Linked DNA regions of Caenorhabditis elegans. The protein of the gene in region 1 interacts with the protein of each later gene in a pairwise test. Each region holds a gene or a part of one and is shown on either strand. Other genes may lie near its edges. The genes, in order: F20B10.3 and R02F2.5.

Region 1 (8,269 bases):
CTCAACGATGAAAAGATGAAGAATCAGAAATTGGAAGAGGCAGCTTTCAACGACAGAAAAGAAAAAGCTGAGTTGAAAAAGAAAGTCTCCAATTTGGAACAATCTGCGCAAAACACCCAGAGAACTCTGCAAAATCAAACCAGAGAATTGAACTTATATAGTACCGTAAGTCCTTCTACTGAAGCTTCCACCTAATTAACTGCACTATTTCAGAACAGATCCTGGCTCCGAAAAGAGTTTAACAGTACTAACCTCTTGGAGCATCTCCGACGCAACTACCACGACCTTTCCAAAAGATTGGAACAATTTGCCTTTAATTGAAAAAAATGGCAAGATACACATAACTCCTGTACCAGTTATCTGAAAAAAGATGACTTCATTTACTAATTGAAACTGAATTTTGATGCTGTCAATTCTTGTAACATTCATTGATTGTAACTGAAATGTGAAAACATTGCTGGATAATAAATTCATTGTTAATAATAGAGCTTTAAATCATATGGAACTTTCAAAAAACAACTTGAGAAATTCAGAATAAAACTATTTCAGATTTGTAACGAAGCATGTCACGCAGATGGAACATTTTTCAGAAAAGCTGCAGTATCTAAAACAATTTCAGAGTGTGGCTGAAGATAATAATTTTTTGGAATTTAGAGTAAATTTTTACTGGCAGCTAAACTAAAACCGGAATTTCAATTGAATTTTGAACGGTGAGTGCCGATTTTTTTGTTTATAAAAATATTCAGAAATGAATGAGTGAATCTGTGAAATTTTAACAAATTTGGGTGTTTGTGGTTGACGATAATAATTTTTGAAACTTGCATTTTTTTTTTGGAATTTGGAGTAAATTTTTAATATACTGCTGAAAGTTGTTCCAATTTTGAAGAATAACTTGAAAGCCTTTCCAAGAACAGATCGTTGTTGAAAATTGTAAAATTAGTGCAAACCGTTCCAAATACACTCGGCATTTGGCTCCAGCTTCCTGCCCAAGGTTGGTCAGAAAAATATTAATTTGGTTCAGAAGTTGGCTAAACTTGGGAAAAAATTGGACAAGACTTTGGCTGCGACAAAAATTTCACCCAAGTTTGGCCCAACTCTTGCCAAACTTTAACGCACGTTTAATATAAAGCAAGAAAAGTTCCGGCCAAAGTTTGACAAGAGTTGGGCCAAACTTGTGTTAAACTGTCGCAGCCTACATCTAAGTTTAACAAAAGTTTTCGGGCCAAACTTAGACAAGAAGCTGGAGTCAATGCCGAGCATACAACTTCAGGGCAAACTCATGTACATACACCTAAGAATGTGAAGCAGCTGCCAAGGAATCAGAGTCAATTTTTATAATACATTTTAAAACAAAATTCTAAAGTTTTTATTCGCAACCTACGAGCTTGATATTTTAATTAGGTTTTAATTAATAGCGTCCAAACACTTTAAAGGTTACAGTTTTAAAATTGTCACAATTTTGATTTAACAACCTTTGGCTTTGAACTCTCTACAGTTCTTTGCTTTTACCATTTTTGATTTTGAACTACCTTAATTTTTTTGGGTTATTTTGCTGTAAGTCGTCACAATTTTGAATTTGTTACGTTGATAAAATGCATCTAAAACAGAACAACAAATTGCATGTAAAACTATTAAATAAACAGTTTCCAGAACAATATTTGTCATTTCAAGTGAGATAAAAAGTTAAGGGAAATGTGCGTCATGCTTTTTCAAATTTGTTCTAATATTTGCATTCTCTCTGTCTTCTCTCCTCGTCGCAACAATTGGTGTGAATCCCTCCAAAAATGTTTCCGGTCTTATCACTCATGTTCTTTGCTCTCATTTCCTTGGTCTCGGAAAGGTGCAAACTGTCTTTGTGCTGTGCCAATCTTTCTTCCGAATTCCAAATTCGCAAAGTAAAGTCTCCCGTTTTGTCATTTGATTAGACTAAAACACACGGAATCTCCGAGAAGAAATAAGCAATGATGATGATTTGTTGTGTTTGTCTGCTCAAATGATAGGGGGAGATCATTGAAAACGTGTTTCGGTCACTTTTCGAACGATGTGATTCTTATCGAGAATGCCGATAAATTCACCCACGCCTTTTTCAGGTACTTCAGGGGAAAAAGAGCAAACACATACGTTGTTGGAATGTTTTTGATATCAGATTCCGTCATCATGGGAACATTTTTGATCAATAGAAGCTGGCAAGAAGTTTCTAAATATTTTCAAGTTTGACAAAAAGTTTCTTCAGATCGGCAAGAAGTTTTTCAAAAAGCTGTGCTTCGCATGCGATAAGCTATTTAATAAATTGTCAAAGGCTTTTTTAAACGTTTCAAAGCTTTACAAAAATTAATTAACCATAGCGACAAGGTTGCAAAAGTTTCCCAGAAAATGCCAAAATTTTTCAAAAAGTTGTGAAAAATAGAAGTTTGCAAAACTGCCACAAGTTTCTGAAAATTTGTTAAAACTTTCAAAGTAGTTTTCAAAAATGTTCCAACTTTTCCAAGACGGTGGAACAGATTTTGAAAAAGTTTTCAAGTCTTTCCAAAGGTTTCAAAAATTTGCTAAAAAGCTGAAAAAGTTATCCAAAGAGTTTCTAAACTTTTCGAAGTTGTCTTGAAGTGGGCACAAAAAATAGTATGCAGATGTTGAAAGTTGCCAAAAAGTTGCAAAAATTTGTGGAAAACTTTTCAAGGTTGATCAAAAGTTTCAAAAGTTTACCAAGTAGCCTTGAAGTGTGCACCAACTTCTGAAACGGTTTCTATACAGAAATACTGTGACCATTTTCTGGAGGAAACTGGCAAAAAGTATTTGAAAAGTTGGGAACTGTTTTGGCGAATGTTAAAGTTGAAGTTGAAGCTGTAAATTTTGAATTTTTCGGGAAATATTCTGGAGATATTTTATAGTCCACGGACATATAACTATTTAGTAAAATTCTTCCTATGCTCCATTTCAAAAGTACCAGGTTCAGCATCTCCCAATGTCAACTCAATGAATCATACTCTTATAATAGCACTCGAAAGTTCACATGCTCATGGAACCTGTTTAACTTCTGCCGCTGATGTCACTTATTAAAACTTTAATGATGACACATCAACCTCAACTTTAGACATTATGATTTCAATGTTAAAATCACTTCAAAGTACTGCGTATGTCTTGTTTCCGCGTCGGCTATTGCTCCTGCTCCCACGCCAAACTGACCTGTCCTGTTTTGTGTGTGTATTTGTGCATGTTTGCAAATGAGTGTGCACAATCTCTCCTCCAGACACACTTTTTTTCGACGACCGGAGTACTACGTGTGCGAGCTCATCTTCGAATCCATCGAGACAACGGCCGGCCCCGGTAATATTTACTTTGAGACCAAAAGTCAACGTGTGTCCTCTTTAAATTTATTGGAACAATTAGTGTACTCAAGGTGAGAACATGATGAAAAACTGGAAAAAAATGAGAAAAAATTGAGAGCAAAAGAGCAATTACCTGAAAGAAAACAAAACAAATATGTGGCAAAATGATGGGGTTACCCTGAAACTTCAAAAGTTGACAAACATATTTGAAGAAAGTCCAGATGCTTTTTTTCAAAAAAAAAATGTAGAAGTCAAGCGTAACTTGCTTTGAAAATGCCTACCTTGCTACGCATAACATTACTTTTTACAATTCTCTAACCGAATAGGTCACAGATTTTATAAGCTTTGTTTTATTTATAAAACATTTTATAAAAAAATATTTACTGTTTCTGGTAAATAATATACCAAATATTACAATTAAATTTCCAATTAGGCATGTAACGTGACTACAAAACATGCCTACTTAAAAAGGTAAGTGTCACTTTTAAGGCAAGTTAGTCATGTCTAGTAGGCATGCAGATAGGCTTTCTTTACTTTATATACCTACGGGGAAGACTTATATTTTAAAGAAACGAAAACTTTTGAAAAGGTGAACACATCTTAAATATTGTTTTGATGTAGGCACAAAAATTCGTACATGTCTGCCTACAAAGTAGGATTAACTATTACTATTACAAGGTTTGATGAAAAACTTTGTCGGTACAGTGAGCTTAGGCTAGGTACGCCTATAGGCACGCTAGCAGGCAACCTTTTTTTTCCATGAGCACCCAAGCTCCAAAGGTTCTCTCAAGAAAAAATAAAACAATTGCAAAATTGAACCGTACTTTGTAGTCCACAGCAAATGTCATATTGTCTTTTAAAATTGTCAGTGCCTTGTCTCTCTCTTTTTCCGCGCGCGCGGCGCCTCTCGCGTAAATCAGCGGAGAGGAGGAGCTCATGGAAACAAACAAGGAATTGAGAAGGCGGGCACACGCAACTTACTCGACGTGGCGTTTTCTTATGTGCCAGACTATAAAAGAAGCATGGAACAGAGAGTGACAGGTACACACTTCTTTTACTCATTTTCAATTTTTTTAAAAACATTTTCCAAATTTTCTAGTTTTTGAAGAGCTTTGCATATTTATTTTTTAGAAAAAAATGACTCGTCGTTTTGCCCTTATTGCTTTGTTGTTTGCATTGACTTCTGCACAAACTACAACTCAATCAAAACAAATCAGTCTGGATCCGAACGCTGGACCACTCAAACTTCGCATTGTTTTCCAATCCGAACAGCCACCACAGGTACTTTGAATTTACCTTTCATTTTTAAAATTGTTCTATCTTTCCTGAAGGTTCAACAAACTCCGTGTTCTACCGGTAACTGTCAGCCCACGCCGACCTTGAGCCCATGTGCTTCTGGAAATTGTGGCTCAGTTCAGCCAGTTCAAGCTTCTCCGTGCTCTACTGGAAACTGCGGAGTCACTCAACAGGCTTCCGCATGCTCTACTGGCAACTGCAATGGACCTGTCGCTGGATCTGCCAATGTTGTTCCAGTTTTTGATGCCTCGATCTACACGGTATCCCAAACAAAACTTCCAACTCATTGTACTTTTCAGTTTTCAGACCACGACCCCAATGCCTATCCCAATCCGAACCATCTCTTCAAACACTGCACCAATCAAGGTGATCCGTGTTCCATCTTATTCCAACTCGAACAACGGATGCTTCTCCCCACCATGCGGAGCTCCAAGATTCATTTTCGCTCAACCACCATGCTTCGGAAACTCGTGTGGTCCACGATTCATGTTCCCACGTCGTCGTCATTTCTTCGGACCACGACCAATCATCATCGGAAACAGAAATAACGGAAACATCAATGCCGGAGGAAATGTTGCTGTTCCAGATACAATCTACAAGAACGGAATGGCAATTCGTGCTCCAATTCGTGTGCCAAGCAGTTATCAAGATGGGAACCCAGTATTCAACTCTGGAAAGTAATCTCCTTTCAGCTCAATGTCATCACTACTTGTTTGTAATTATTGAAATCTCTTTCACATTCATATCTCATTGTTGGTTTTCTTTACATAATTTATGAGAGTTTTAAAATAAAAAGTTAATAAGTGTTTGAAAATATGTTAGAAAAGAATACAAAATTCCACAATTTTTTTTAAACCTTTTCGCAGATAAAAAAATTCTCCATAATTCTCAGTTTTAAAAATTTTGAAAACCAGTGAAGTCTTGATAATCCATATTTTCCATAATTCTCAGTTTTAAAAATTTTGAAAACCAGTGAAGTCTTAATATTCCATATTCTCCATAATTCTCGGTTTTAAAAATTTTGAAAACCAGTGAAGTCTTGATATTCCATATTCTCCATAATTCTCGGTTTTAAAAATTTTGAAAACCAGTGAAGTCTTGATATTCCATATTTTCCATAATTCTCGGTTTTAAAAATTTTGAAAACCAGTGAAGTCTTGATATTCCATATTCTCCATAATTCTCGGTTTTAAAAATTTTGAAAACCAGTGAAGTCTTGATATTCCATATTCTCCATAATTCTCAGTTTTAAAAATATTGAAAACCAGTGAAGTCTTGATATTCCATATTCTCCATAATTCTCGGTTTTAAAAATTTTGAAAACCAGTGAAGTCTTGATATTCCATATTCTCCATAATTCTCGGTTTTAAAAATTTTGAAAACCAGTGAAGTCTTGATATTCCATATTCTCCATAATTCTCAGTTTTAAAAATTTTGAAAACCAGTGAAGTCTTAATATTCCATATTCTCCATAATTCTCGGTTTTAAAAATTTTGAAAACCAGTGAAGTCTTGATATTCCATATTCTCCATAATTCTCGGTTTTAAAAATTTTGAAAACCAGTGAAGTCTTGATATTCCATATTTTCCATAATTCTCAGTTTTAAAAATATTGAAAACCAGTGAAGTCTTGATATTCCATATTCTCCATAATTCTCGGTTTTAAAAATTTTGAAAACCAGTGAAGTCTTGATATTCCATATTCTCCATAATTCTCGGTTTTAAAAATTTTGAAAACCAGTGAAGTCTTGATATTCCATATTCTCCATAATTCTCAGTTTTAAAAATATTGAAAACCAGTGAAGTCTTGATATTCCATATTCTCCATAATTCTCGGTTTTAAAAATTTTGAAAACCAGTGAAGTCTTGATATTCCATATTTTCCATAATTCTCAGTTTTAAAAATTTTGAAAACCAGTGAAGTCTTGATATTCCATATTCTCCATAATTCTCAGTTTTAAAAATTTTGAAAACCAGTGAAGTCTTGATATTCCATATTTTCCATAATTCTCAGTTTTAAAAATTTTGAAAACCAGTGAAGTCTTGATATTCCATATTTTCCATAATTCTCGGTTTTAAAAATATTGAAAACCAGTGAAGTCTTGATATTCCATATTTTCCATAATTCTCAGTTTTAAAAATTTTGAAAACCAGTGAAGTCTTGATATTCCATATTTTCCATAATTCTCGGTTTTAAAAATTTTGAAAACCAGTGAAGTCTTGATATTCCATATTTTCCATAATTCTCAGTTTTAAAAATTTTTAAAACCAGTGAAGTCTTGATATTCATATACAGTCAATACATAAAAATGGGAAATTTCTAAACCTCCGTCAGTCTAGTGTCAAATGCAAATTTTTATTCGCAAAAAGAAATTAGTGGTTTTTTCAGAAATTTCTAAAAAAAAGTAACATAATTAAAATTCAAATCATTTATTCAACAGATAAAAATAACCCGTTTCAAGAATCATCAGACGAAAGACAATTTGTAAAAAACTGAAGAGAAGTTATGGAAAAAGTGAGAATCAAGACCCGAACGAAAAATTTAAGTGGCAAGTTTCAGAAATTTCAGCAGAAATACTCTTTGTTGGAAGCATATGTTGGATTATTATTATTATTGCTAGTTGTATTATGTACTAAAGGCTCTTCACTTCGACTTGGAGAACAGTTTTCACCTGGAAAAGATACATTTGTAAAATGGAAAATTTACAAATTCTATTTACCTGTCTCATTAGTTTTATAGACACCTTCTGGTCGAGACCTCATGTAACAAATCAATGAACTCATACACAGTATGAATAGAGAAAGTGCCAAGATACCACCTCCAATTACTGCAATTTTTTAAAAATTGGATTTATTTTTAAAGTTAATAAATTTGAACTCACTTGCTTTTGACACTAGATCTTGTTTATTTTGGGAAACGGAAAATATTTTGATATCCTCCGTCGATGTTTTTATTGTGGAGGAGATTAGGTCTGGTTGCGGGTTGAAATCGTACATTTGTTGACGAGATCTGAAAATTGTAATTTTTAGGTGAGAAATAAGACTGCAAATGTATGATTATAAGGCCCTAATAGCACTATAATAGATAATATAGGACCACTTACACAGCTTCTATTGGGCATGTTCCAAATCGAATTTTCCCCGAATAGTTTAGTCTTGCAGTTTTTGGATTCTTTAACGGGAATGCGGATCCGGTCTGAATTCGAGACACACAACCTTCGAAATCTGAAAATTTAATGTTTAATTCCAATTATTTCAAAAAACCAGATCAACGTACTTTCATCAAGGAAATGCCAAACATTGAAACTTTCGAAAAATGTCCAATTTCCTTCAATCGTAATCACTTGCATCCCATCAACTGATACATTGAAATGATGTTTCGAAGCACAAAATGAGATGTCATGCATTATATCATCACTCAGATTATGTCGTTTTGATTGTCTCTTGAAATGGAAAAAGAATCCATCGTAAGCCATCATTTGTAGGTTTCCTGAAATAAAGACAATTTTATAGATAACGTTTATTTGGTCTGTCGGTTTTCAGAATTTGCGATTAATTTTTTGCGCAGTTCTGTGACGTCCCAGTTCTATGATTTCTCATAAAATGTTTCAAGAAATGCCAGTAGAAAACAGGTGTTACTTCACAGTT
Region 2 (8,285 bases), on another chromosome or scaffold:
CTCACTCGTATCCCTTTTGTGTGTGTGTGTGTCTCATCGTCCATTTGCAACAAAAACGGCTATATTGCAGATACTCTCTTTCCACTGGGTTACACGTCACGACATATGGCAAAATGAATTATCTGTTGACTGCTCTGATTGCTCTTTTGGCTCCGATTTCTGTTGCATACAATGTCCCACATGGTTTTCTCACAGGTAAATTGTTACTTATTCTCAAAACTTTTTGAAATCATAAAAATTGTCAACTGGTAAATAATTGGGACCTTCGTATTTGAAGACCTATAAAATGGTAGTTATCAATAAGTTACTAACCGAATGTATATAAATTGTGCAAATTTTCGGCAAATTTTTTAGTGACGATTAAACCAAAAATTTGCATACTGGTAACAACTGCTTATAACTTTTTTGTTTGAAGAGTCGTTAAAATTTTTTCAACTGACAAATTAACTATTACAACATTTCCAACATTTTGTCATCTGAAAGAAAATCACAGAGGGAAGTCTGCCTAGGGTTTGAGCGCGTTTATCCGCGCGCAGAGTGAGAATATCAAAACTTTGTCAACTAACAAATTGATAACCACAAAATTATAAACATTTTGCTAATTAATAAATTTTTGATATCTCTTACCTCTGCCGAGATATGGCCATTCACCCCGCCTACTTTAAAAACGGGGGCTGCCTGATTTCAAACTCATTTATTTCCGCGATCGCGTAAGATATCTGAAAACTTTGTTAACTGGTAAAATATTGCATTATATTAATATTGCTAGTTAAACGTTTTATTTCAGGTGAAGCCGTAACTTCCCACTCCGGCCCAAACGATTTGGACGGTGAACTTCCCGCCACTGATGAGGTGAAACGGGAAAAGCGTGGCTATTTCTTCCCGTCACATTTCCAAAGTGACAGTGGTCTTCTTTCAAGATCCGAACATCCGAATGAATATCTCAAAAAATGGATTACTCACGAGCATAATCGGTATAGGCGTATGGTAAGTGATGAGTCATTTTTCGAATTAGTCATGGAGAAAATGAGGAATATCAAGATTTTGAAATAGTATATACATCTAGATAAAATCTTACCTTGTAATTGGAAACAGATTAAGGAAGTTCTATATCTAATAGGGGTTCAGACATATTTGACTGAAGTTTAAATGTATGAAGTTATCACGCCGTTATCCCATTTTCCAAATACAGTTATTGAGATGTATAACAACACAAAGTTTTTGATGTATGACGTCACTCCTTCTTCCACTTGAAATTTCTAGGCCACCAATATTGGGGCGCATGGACGTGAAAGTTCAAATGTTTACGCGAGAATTTTTGAAAAATATTCGCTATCAATAACCTTCTAGACAATCTCGTTCTTCTCCTAATTATTCTATTTGATAATATTTATTAGAAAAAAGGAAAAGATCTTTGTATTCTGATCACGGGCACGTAGACTTGATAAGAGAAAAATTGAAACTTTAGAACAAGTATTAAAATCTCTGTGAGAGGTTGGTGTTCATGACCGTGTGACTGGTGTTACTTAAACTATGCTATGCTTTGGTGGTAATTTTTTTAAAGCCACGCTCTATAAGGATCCGGCACTAAATTTTCCGGTTCTTCCAGGTGCCTGCCTCCGACATGAACATGCTCTACTGGTCCGATGAGCTGGCCGCTTCAGCTCAACGCCACGCGGACACCTGTGATTTCCGTCACTCCCGTGGACGCATCAACGTCGGCGAAAACATCTGGGCGGCGCCGTACAGTAACTATTCTGACGCTATCTCGATCTGGTTCAACGAGGTAATTTCAAATATTTTTCTATTTTCCTTGCATCTTCCATAATTACCATCAATCTTTTGTAGGTCCATAATCCAAGATGTGGATGTAACCATGCCTATAAACACTGTTGCGGTCACTATGTTCAGGTTCTATTAATCCCTTTTTCTAAGTGTACAAATTAAATAAAATCAACTAATTTAGGTTGTCTGGGCAAAGACGAATCTCGTCGGATGCGGCTTCTCCCGTTGCCGTGACGTTCAGGGTGTCTGGGGACGTGGACATCGTAACGTATTCGTCTGTCACTACAATCCACAGGGAAATACGGTATTCGTCACTGCGAGAGGACAGCTTTATGCGGTTCGTACGTCCTTGTCTCCCTCACTTATGTTATTTTGAGTTTCTTGCTAACCGTTGCTTTCGCCTAATTTGAGTGCAGTGAATTTGGTTTCTTGTGGGCTGGTGTCTCCTTTGGCTTTGCTGAAGGTTGTTGATTGAAATTGTCAATTGGTGAAATGTACAAATTATCACATTTTGTCCGTTGACAATATTTTGATCCGACCACTCTCCGCTAAAAAGCAAGGGTTTAAAAAATAATTGTTAAAAATTGAAAAATTGTAACTTGGTCAAAGTAAGAGTTATTAAATGCATTATTGGCAAATGTAGCAGTTAACAACTTTTAAAATTCAATTTTGATGAAACTGCGGGAAGATCAAACAATTTCTAACTTAAACATTGTAGATCTCAAAATATTTTTAAAAAACATTTTAGTTGACAATGTTTTGATCTGACTGTTCTCTGCTGATATCCAGCAGTTCCGAGTTTGAAAATGTTAAATTTTTGTTCGAAATCTTCAAACGCCTTAACTTTGTAAAAGTAAGAGTTCTCAAAAATTGTCAACTGGTAAATGTTAGTCAAAAAATGTTTGAATAAATTGCCAATTGCCAATTATTTAATATTTACAAGCTCCGCAAGTCATCGTTTGAATAAGGACATCTTCAAGATGTTTTCCATTTCTAACCATTTCTAACCGTTTGAATGATACAGTTTCAAAATTAATAGTTTTCTATTTTCGTTAAATATTTTCAAGTTTTCGTATTTTTGCAGAAGGACCTAGAGTCCGCAGAAAACAGTATAACAGTATAAACTTTTTCTTGTAAAAAGATTTCCCCTTTTTTAAATTGTTTTGAAACTTATGATTTTCAAGGAGATATAGCTGTTCAAAAGTGACCCCCTTCAAATTTGCTAGATGATTTGAAACTCAATTTGAGCAATTTTCTTAGTTGACAACTTTTGGTATTGCTGATTTTCATTAAAAAATTGGAACTCAGTTCTTATTTTACCAAAAATTAAATATTAATTTTCACTGAACTCCTTATTCCAGATGCCAGCTTTCACCTGGGCTTCCGGTGACAATGGAAAATGCTCCAACTGCCCAGCAAATGCTCCAGCCTGCTACCAAGGGCTCTGCTACATGCCAAAGAACTACGAGGCTCCGACTACAACAACGGAATCCACCACAACATCTACAACAACTGAGGAACCAACGACAACTTGTGAGCCCGATGAACCAGAAGCTGAGGGAGCTGACAATAATCAAGAAGAAGAAGAAGAAAACAACGACGGGTTCCGAATGAGAGTTTAAGCTTCTTTCATGGTACCCTACCTTCTCCCACATTTAATACCGGATGAACTACTTGGATTGCTTACCGAACGGGTGTGCATACCGCTGCATTTATTTATTCATTTATATATATAGGTGTATGTGTATGTATTGGTGATATACCGAGATTTCTACGAATTGATGATATTCAATAAAAACTACAGTACAATTCTATCGTTTTTATCAACGTTTTTATCAGCGTTATTATCAACATTTTCAGGTCCATACACCATTTTGAGCCTACAAGCCTATCCGCCTATCTCACTCCCTCGTGCCTACCTGTGTTTGCCTTCGCGCCTTCCTTGTTAACCCCTATTTTCGTGAATGTTAGCTGTCTCAAATTGAACTTCATTCGTGCCTAAATAATAATAATAAAAATCTGGAAAAAAATAATTTAAAAAGTCGAAAAGTTTAACATTTACGTGTAAAACTTTCCAAAAATCAATTTCAAACTCAAAGAAATTCATTTCTGAAAGCCGTGAGAAAATGGGATGCTGCGGTTCAAAAAACAAGCAGAATAGTAGGAATTCAAATCGAAATGGACAACAAATGGTAGGTACTGTAGGATTACGCTCTGCAGAACCAAGTTTCGATTGGTTTACTGTAGTGGTACGGTAGCGGGTTTCATAGGTTTATTGCAAGATTACGGTAGCTCATCGTTGTAATTACAGTGTTACTGTAGTAATACTGTACTTGTACGCTTAAGCTTGCATCAGCTTTCGCTGCGAACTCTTTTGAAACCAAAGTACTACGTGTTGTTAGGGGTACGGTTGGCGCAGGTTTATTACCTGGTTACTGTAGAGTCACTATAGTTTTGCACACCTTTTACAATCTCGACAGCATTCATTTTTAGAGATTCCTCGTCTCAAAAACTATATTTTCAGAATCAAACCGGAACCCAATCAGGCCCCTATCCTGCCCAGAATCAACCTCAGAATAGGAATCAACCTCCACCTCCACCTCGACAGCAGCAGCAGCAACAAGCTCCACCTCCCAATGGACAGAAGCCTCCACAACCTCAACGTCAACAACCGTCTCCAGGTCTCCCGTACCAGCCACAACCGCCTCCTGCGTATGGGGCTCAACAGCCATACTATCCACCGCAACAGCAAGTCGTAGTGGCTGCTCCTCCGCCAGTGGTCATTGTGGATCCTTATCCATGTTATGGAGGTGGAATGTACTACGGTGATCCATTCTATTGTGATCCGTTTATGTTTTAATCGAGATGTCAAATGAAAAGTAAGAAGAAGATGAAGTGACTTGAAAATATTTCCGATAAGAAATAATTGATAATTGATCCTTTTTTTGCAATAAAAATAGTCTGAGATTGTTTTCTAAAAATTAGTTAATCGGTCCGAAACTGGCAAATTGATCCACCAAAATTTATCCACGGGAAGTGTCGACTGCTGGCATTAGAAAAAGGAAAGTGTCGGCCGCTTCCATTTCTGCGTGAACGCCTTGCAGTTATTTTTTTGGAAATGATTTATTTTTCAAATGTTCAAACTTGCCGCTAAAAAATTTTATTCCCAACTTACTTTATAATCAAAAGAACTCAAATATATCGATGAAAAATGGGATGCTGTCAATCGAAGAAAGCTAGAAATAATCAACGGAACAACCAACGCTCGGACCAAATGGTAAGTCTCCAAGTTTCATATGAGGTGACCGTGCCTGCCTATAATCCCTGTTCCGGGTTCCATAAAAAAAACTGAATAGACACAAGGCAGACGAAGGTCGCCTTGAAGTCAAGCTCAAGAACTCCTCCTTGTACCTCAACTTTTCAGAATCGTCAGCACACTCAACCATCTCCAAACGCCTCGACAGAGCAAATGGTAGGGAAAATCGATAATTTTCCGAAAATCAATAAAAGAAAATATCGATTTTTCAGGCATACCCTCGACAGCAGCCTCAAGGGATCCCACAGGGACCTCCACCGGCCTACGCACCTCCAGCAGCACCGAAAGCTCCTGAGAAAGTCGTGGAGCCCAAAAATAGGAGAGTAACGATTGCAGAACCACCGGAGAGAGTTGCGGAGCCATCACCAACGCCTGAAGATCCAGAGCTTTTTACTTGCATCGACCAAACGGAGAAAGAGGTTGAAAAGGAAGTGGAGAAGAGAAAGTCTGCTCCGCGAGCCCCAGTCCCGGCACCTACACCAGCTCCTCAGGCAGCTCCCCAGGCAACTCCGGCTGCACCTGCTCAAGCTTACCCTCAACAACAACAAGCTGCTCCCGTGGTCTATGGATCCCAACCAATGGTCATGGGTGCTGCTCCGGTGGCTCCAGTTGTCATGGCTCCGCCGCCAGTGATCATGAGCCCTTATCCATATTATGGAGGTGGTGTTATGTTCGACCCATATTATAATGGATTTTATGGAGGATATGGATACGGAGGTTTTGATTTCGGGTATGGAGGATATGGTGGTTATGGATGCGGATTCTATTGACTTTTTTGAACTCTTTTGTGTTTTTTTGGAATAAATTTTTTAATTGAACACTTAAAAATCAACAGAACAAGATGAACAATCAACAACATAAAAATGGATATTATAACAAAAAAAACAATTAATAAATTCGCTTCGAAGCCCTCGTGATCGTAGAAAGGAACTTCTTGTATCGGGTTCTCTCAACAACTGGAAGATTCGTGGCGAGCAACGCGGATGCATTTTTATCGGCCAGTGAATGTAGTTTTGACATGGCAAGTAGACTGTCTGATCCATAGAATACTGCGTCTCCAATGATTGATGCAGTCAGCTGAAGAATAAAAATTTAGACCGTTTTTGAGAATAATTGAAGGTTTTTTTAAAATTTCAATTTAGTCGTTTTTCTTGGTAACTTTTACCAAAACATACTCAACAAGCTCCCCCTAATTTCGAAAATTAATAAGTTGACAGAATTTTTAAAAAAAATCGAGTTCGAGAAGAAATAGTGATTATTACAGATTATTTAAAATTAAAATGTCTATTTTCTTCTTTAAAAAAAAGGGAAATTTCTCAAGAAATACTAGTTCTCATTTTTATCAATTTGACAATCCTGAAAAAAAAGATAAAACGTTTTAAAATGGGTTTTCAAAAAAGAACTTTAATTTTAAATGTTTTTTAAAACTCTTCTCCAACTTCTACAATTTTTCTTCTTTTTTTTCAATATTTAAAAACTAGAAAAAAATTTATGTAATTTGTTATGGGGTTATTCAAGTAGTGTCGGAAAATTAAAAAGTGTAGAAAAATTACGTCACAACCTTATTCAAGTAGATAAAAACATGTATTTAAATACATTTGTGACGTCACAAATGTATTTAAATGCATTTTGCTACATTACTTGAATAACCCCATTAGACAAACGACTCAAAAAATAGTGTTCACGATTTTTTTAATATTAAAATTCGTATAAATTTTTTTAATTATCGACAAATGGACGATGTTCAAAAAACAATTTTTCAAATTAAAATACTTTTTTAAAAATTTTTTTCAAAAATAGTTTAACCATCGAAAAACTCCCAGTTTTTGATTTTTTATTTATTTCGAGTTTTCAAGAATATTAAATTTTTTCTAAAATGTTCAAAATCTTACCATTGCAAAATACGATTCATTCCTCTTCATTGCATCTACTAATCTTGCCAAATCCTGACTCAATTTATGACGGCGGAGCACAAATTCAGTTTCCATTTCAGGCGAAAGTGTACGCGACGCGACCGCGTTCAGACTATTCCTCACGAATTTTTGAGAATTCTTCAAAACTTGGCTAAAAAGTTGACAGAAAAGTGCAGTGAATGATTTTAGCACTGAATTCTTCGCCGATTTCATTGCTATATCAAGCAGATCAATCGTCTCCACAAGTACTGTAAACCATGATTCATCAGATTTCTCGGTTCCCGGAGCCCGATCCATTTCAGTCCAACCGTCGGCAGCAATTCGTGAAAACACTACTTGAACAGCTAATGATTCCAGTTGACTTCCACCATACATTTCAATTATCAACTTGAAAAGCTTCATCTCGTCAATGCTCTCGGCTCCAGGAATCTCTTCGACGAATTTTACAACAGAATCTGCAAAAAACTTGGGTAAAAGAAATTATTTTTTTTAATAGTTGTAATTAAAAATGATTACCAAAGACTTCCTTTTTCGTCTCCGCTGTATGAACTCCTTGGAGCAAGCTTAAGGCTTCTGCCACTGCAAATTCCGGCTCTCGGAGCTTCTCAGCGACATCCGCGGCGGTTCTATTCACAAATTTGACTGGAGCAGCTTCCTGAGCCACTTTCTTGAAAACCTTCAAAATATTCTCATTTTCAGATCCCTTTCCTGCTTTTATCAGCTTTTCCAGAACGTCCTTCGGTAGAGTTTTCAGGATTTTCTCGCAAAAGTTCCAGTTATCGAAGATTAGTGAAATATTGATTGAAAGAAGGGCAAAAGCAGCCGAGAAATTGTCGTTTTCCGGTTTTTCTGTGACATTGTGAAGGAAATCCTGAAGATTTTCGAGATTTTTAAGCTTCTTGCTAGCGGTAATTTGGCGAGTGTTGGAGCAGGAATTGATGATTGAAGGGAGATGCTTTGTGATTTCTTTTAGTCTGAAAAAAAAAATAAAGGTTAATTTAAAAAAATCCAGACTGATTTTTAATTTAAAATCGAGATTAATTGATTGGTTTCAACTGATTTTTCGCTATTTTTCAATGAAAATTATATAATTTTCTATCAAACTTTCACCATACTTCAACGTTTTCAAGTTTTCGATGAAAATGAGCTCCGAATCGTTGAGGTCAAAAGTGCTCCGTAAAACTGAAATCATCGCGTAGTAAATGCACGGGGACATGCATACTTCAGCAGTTTGGCATCGACGGGCAAGTTGCTTTAGCTGAAATTTTAAA

The links.
Region 2: the proteins of F20B10.3 (region 1) and R02F2.5 interact in a two-hybrid assay, tested with the Caenorhabditis elegans proteins (2 studies listed by BioGRID).

What each region holds. Positions count from the first base shown.
Region 1 is NC_003282.8:12,163,787-12,172,055, forward strand, and holds F20B10.3 (CC domain-containing protein), read left to right. Parts: upstream 1-4,457; 5' UTR 4,458-4,463; coding exon 4,464-4,607; intron 4,608-4,657; coding exon 4,658-4,882; intron 4,883-4,928; coding exon 4,929-5,303; 3' UTR 5,304-5,430; downstream 5,431-8,269. Other genes in the region: eri-12 (Enhanced RNAI (RNA interference)), read left to right, coding at 1-165, 214-321; nlr-1 (Neurexin like receptor 1), read right to left, coding at 7,187-7,293, 7,342-7,449, 7,504-7,631, 7,726-7,846, 7,899-8,111.
Region 2 is NC_003281.10:5,474,408-5,482,692, forward strand, and holds R02F2.5 (Prion-like-(Q/N-rich)-domain-bearing protein), read left to right. Parts: upstream 1-4,910; 5' UTR 4,911-4,996; coding exon 4,997-5,062; intron 5,063-5,209; coding exon 5,210-5,257; intron 5,258-5,313; coding exon 5,314-5,871; 3' UTR 5,872-5,921; downstream 5,922-8,285. Other genes in the region: Protein lon-1, read left to right, coding at 114-195, 788-987, 1,610-1,786, 1,849-1,911, 1,967-2,122, 3,147-3,407; R02F2.10 (Prion-like-(Q/N-rich)-domain-bearing protein), read left to right, coding at 3,912-3,977, 4,310-4,645; R02F2.6 (uncharacterized protein), read right to left, coding at 4,275-4,517; R02F2.7 (Myb-binding protein 1A-like protein), read right to left, coding at 5,990-6,178, 6,994-7,469, 7,531-7,988, 8,130-8,272.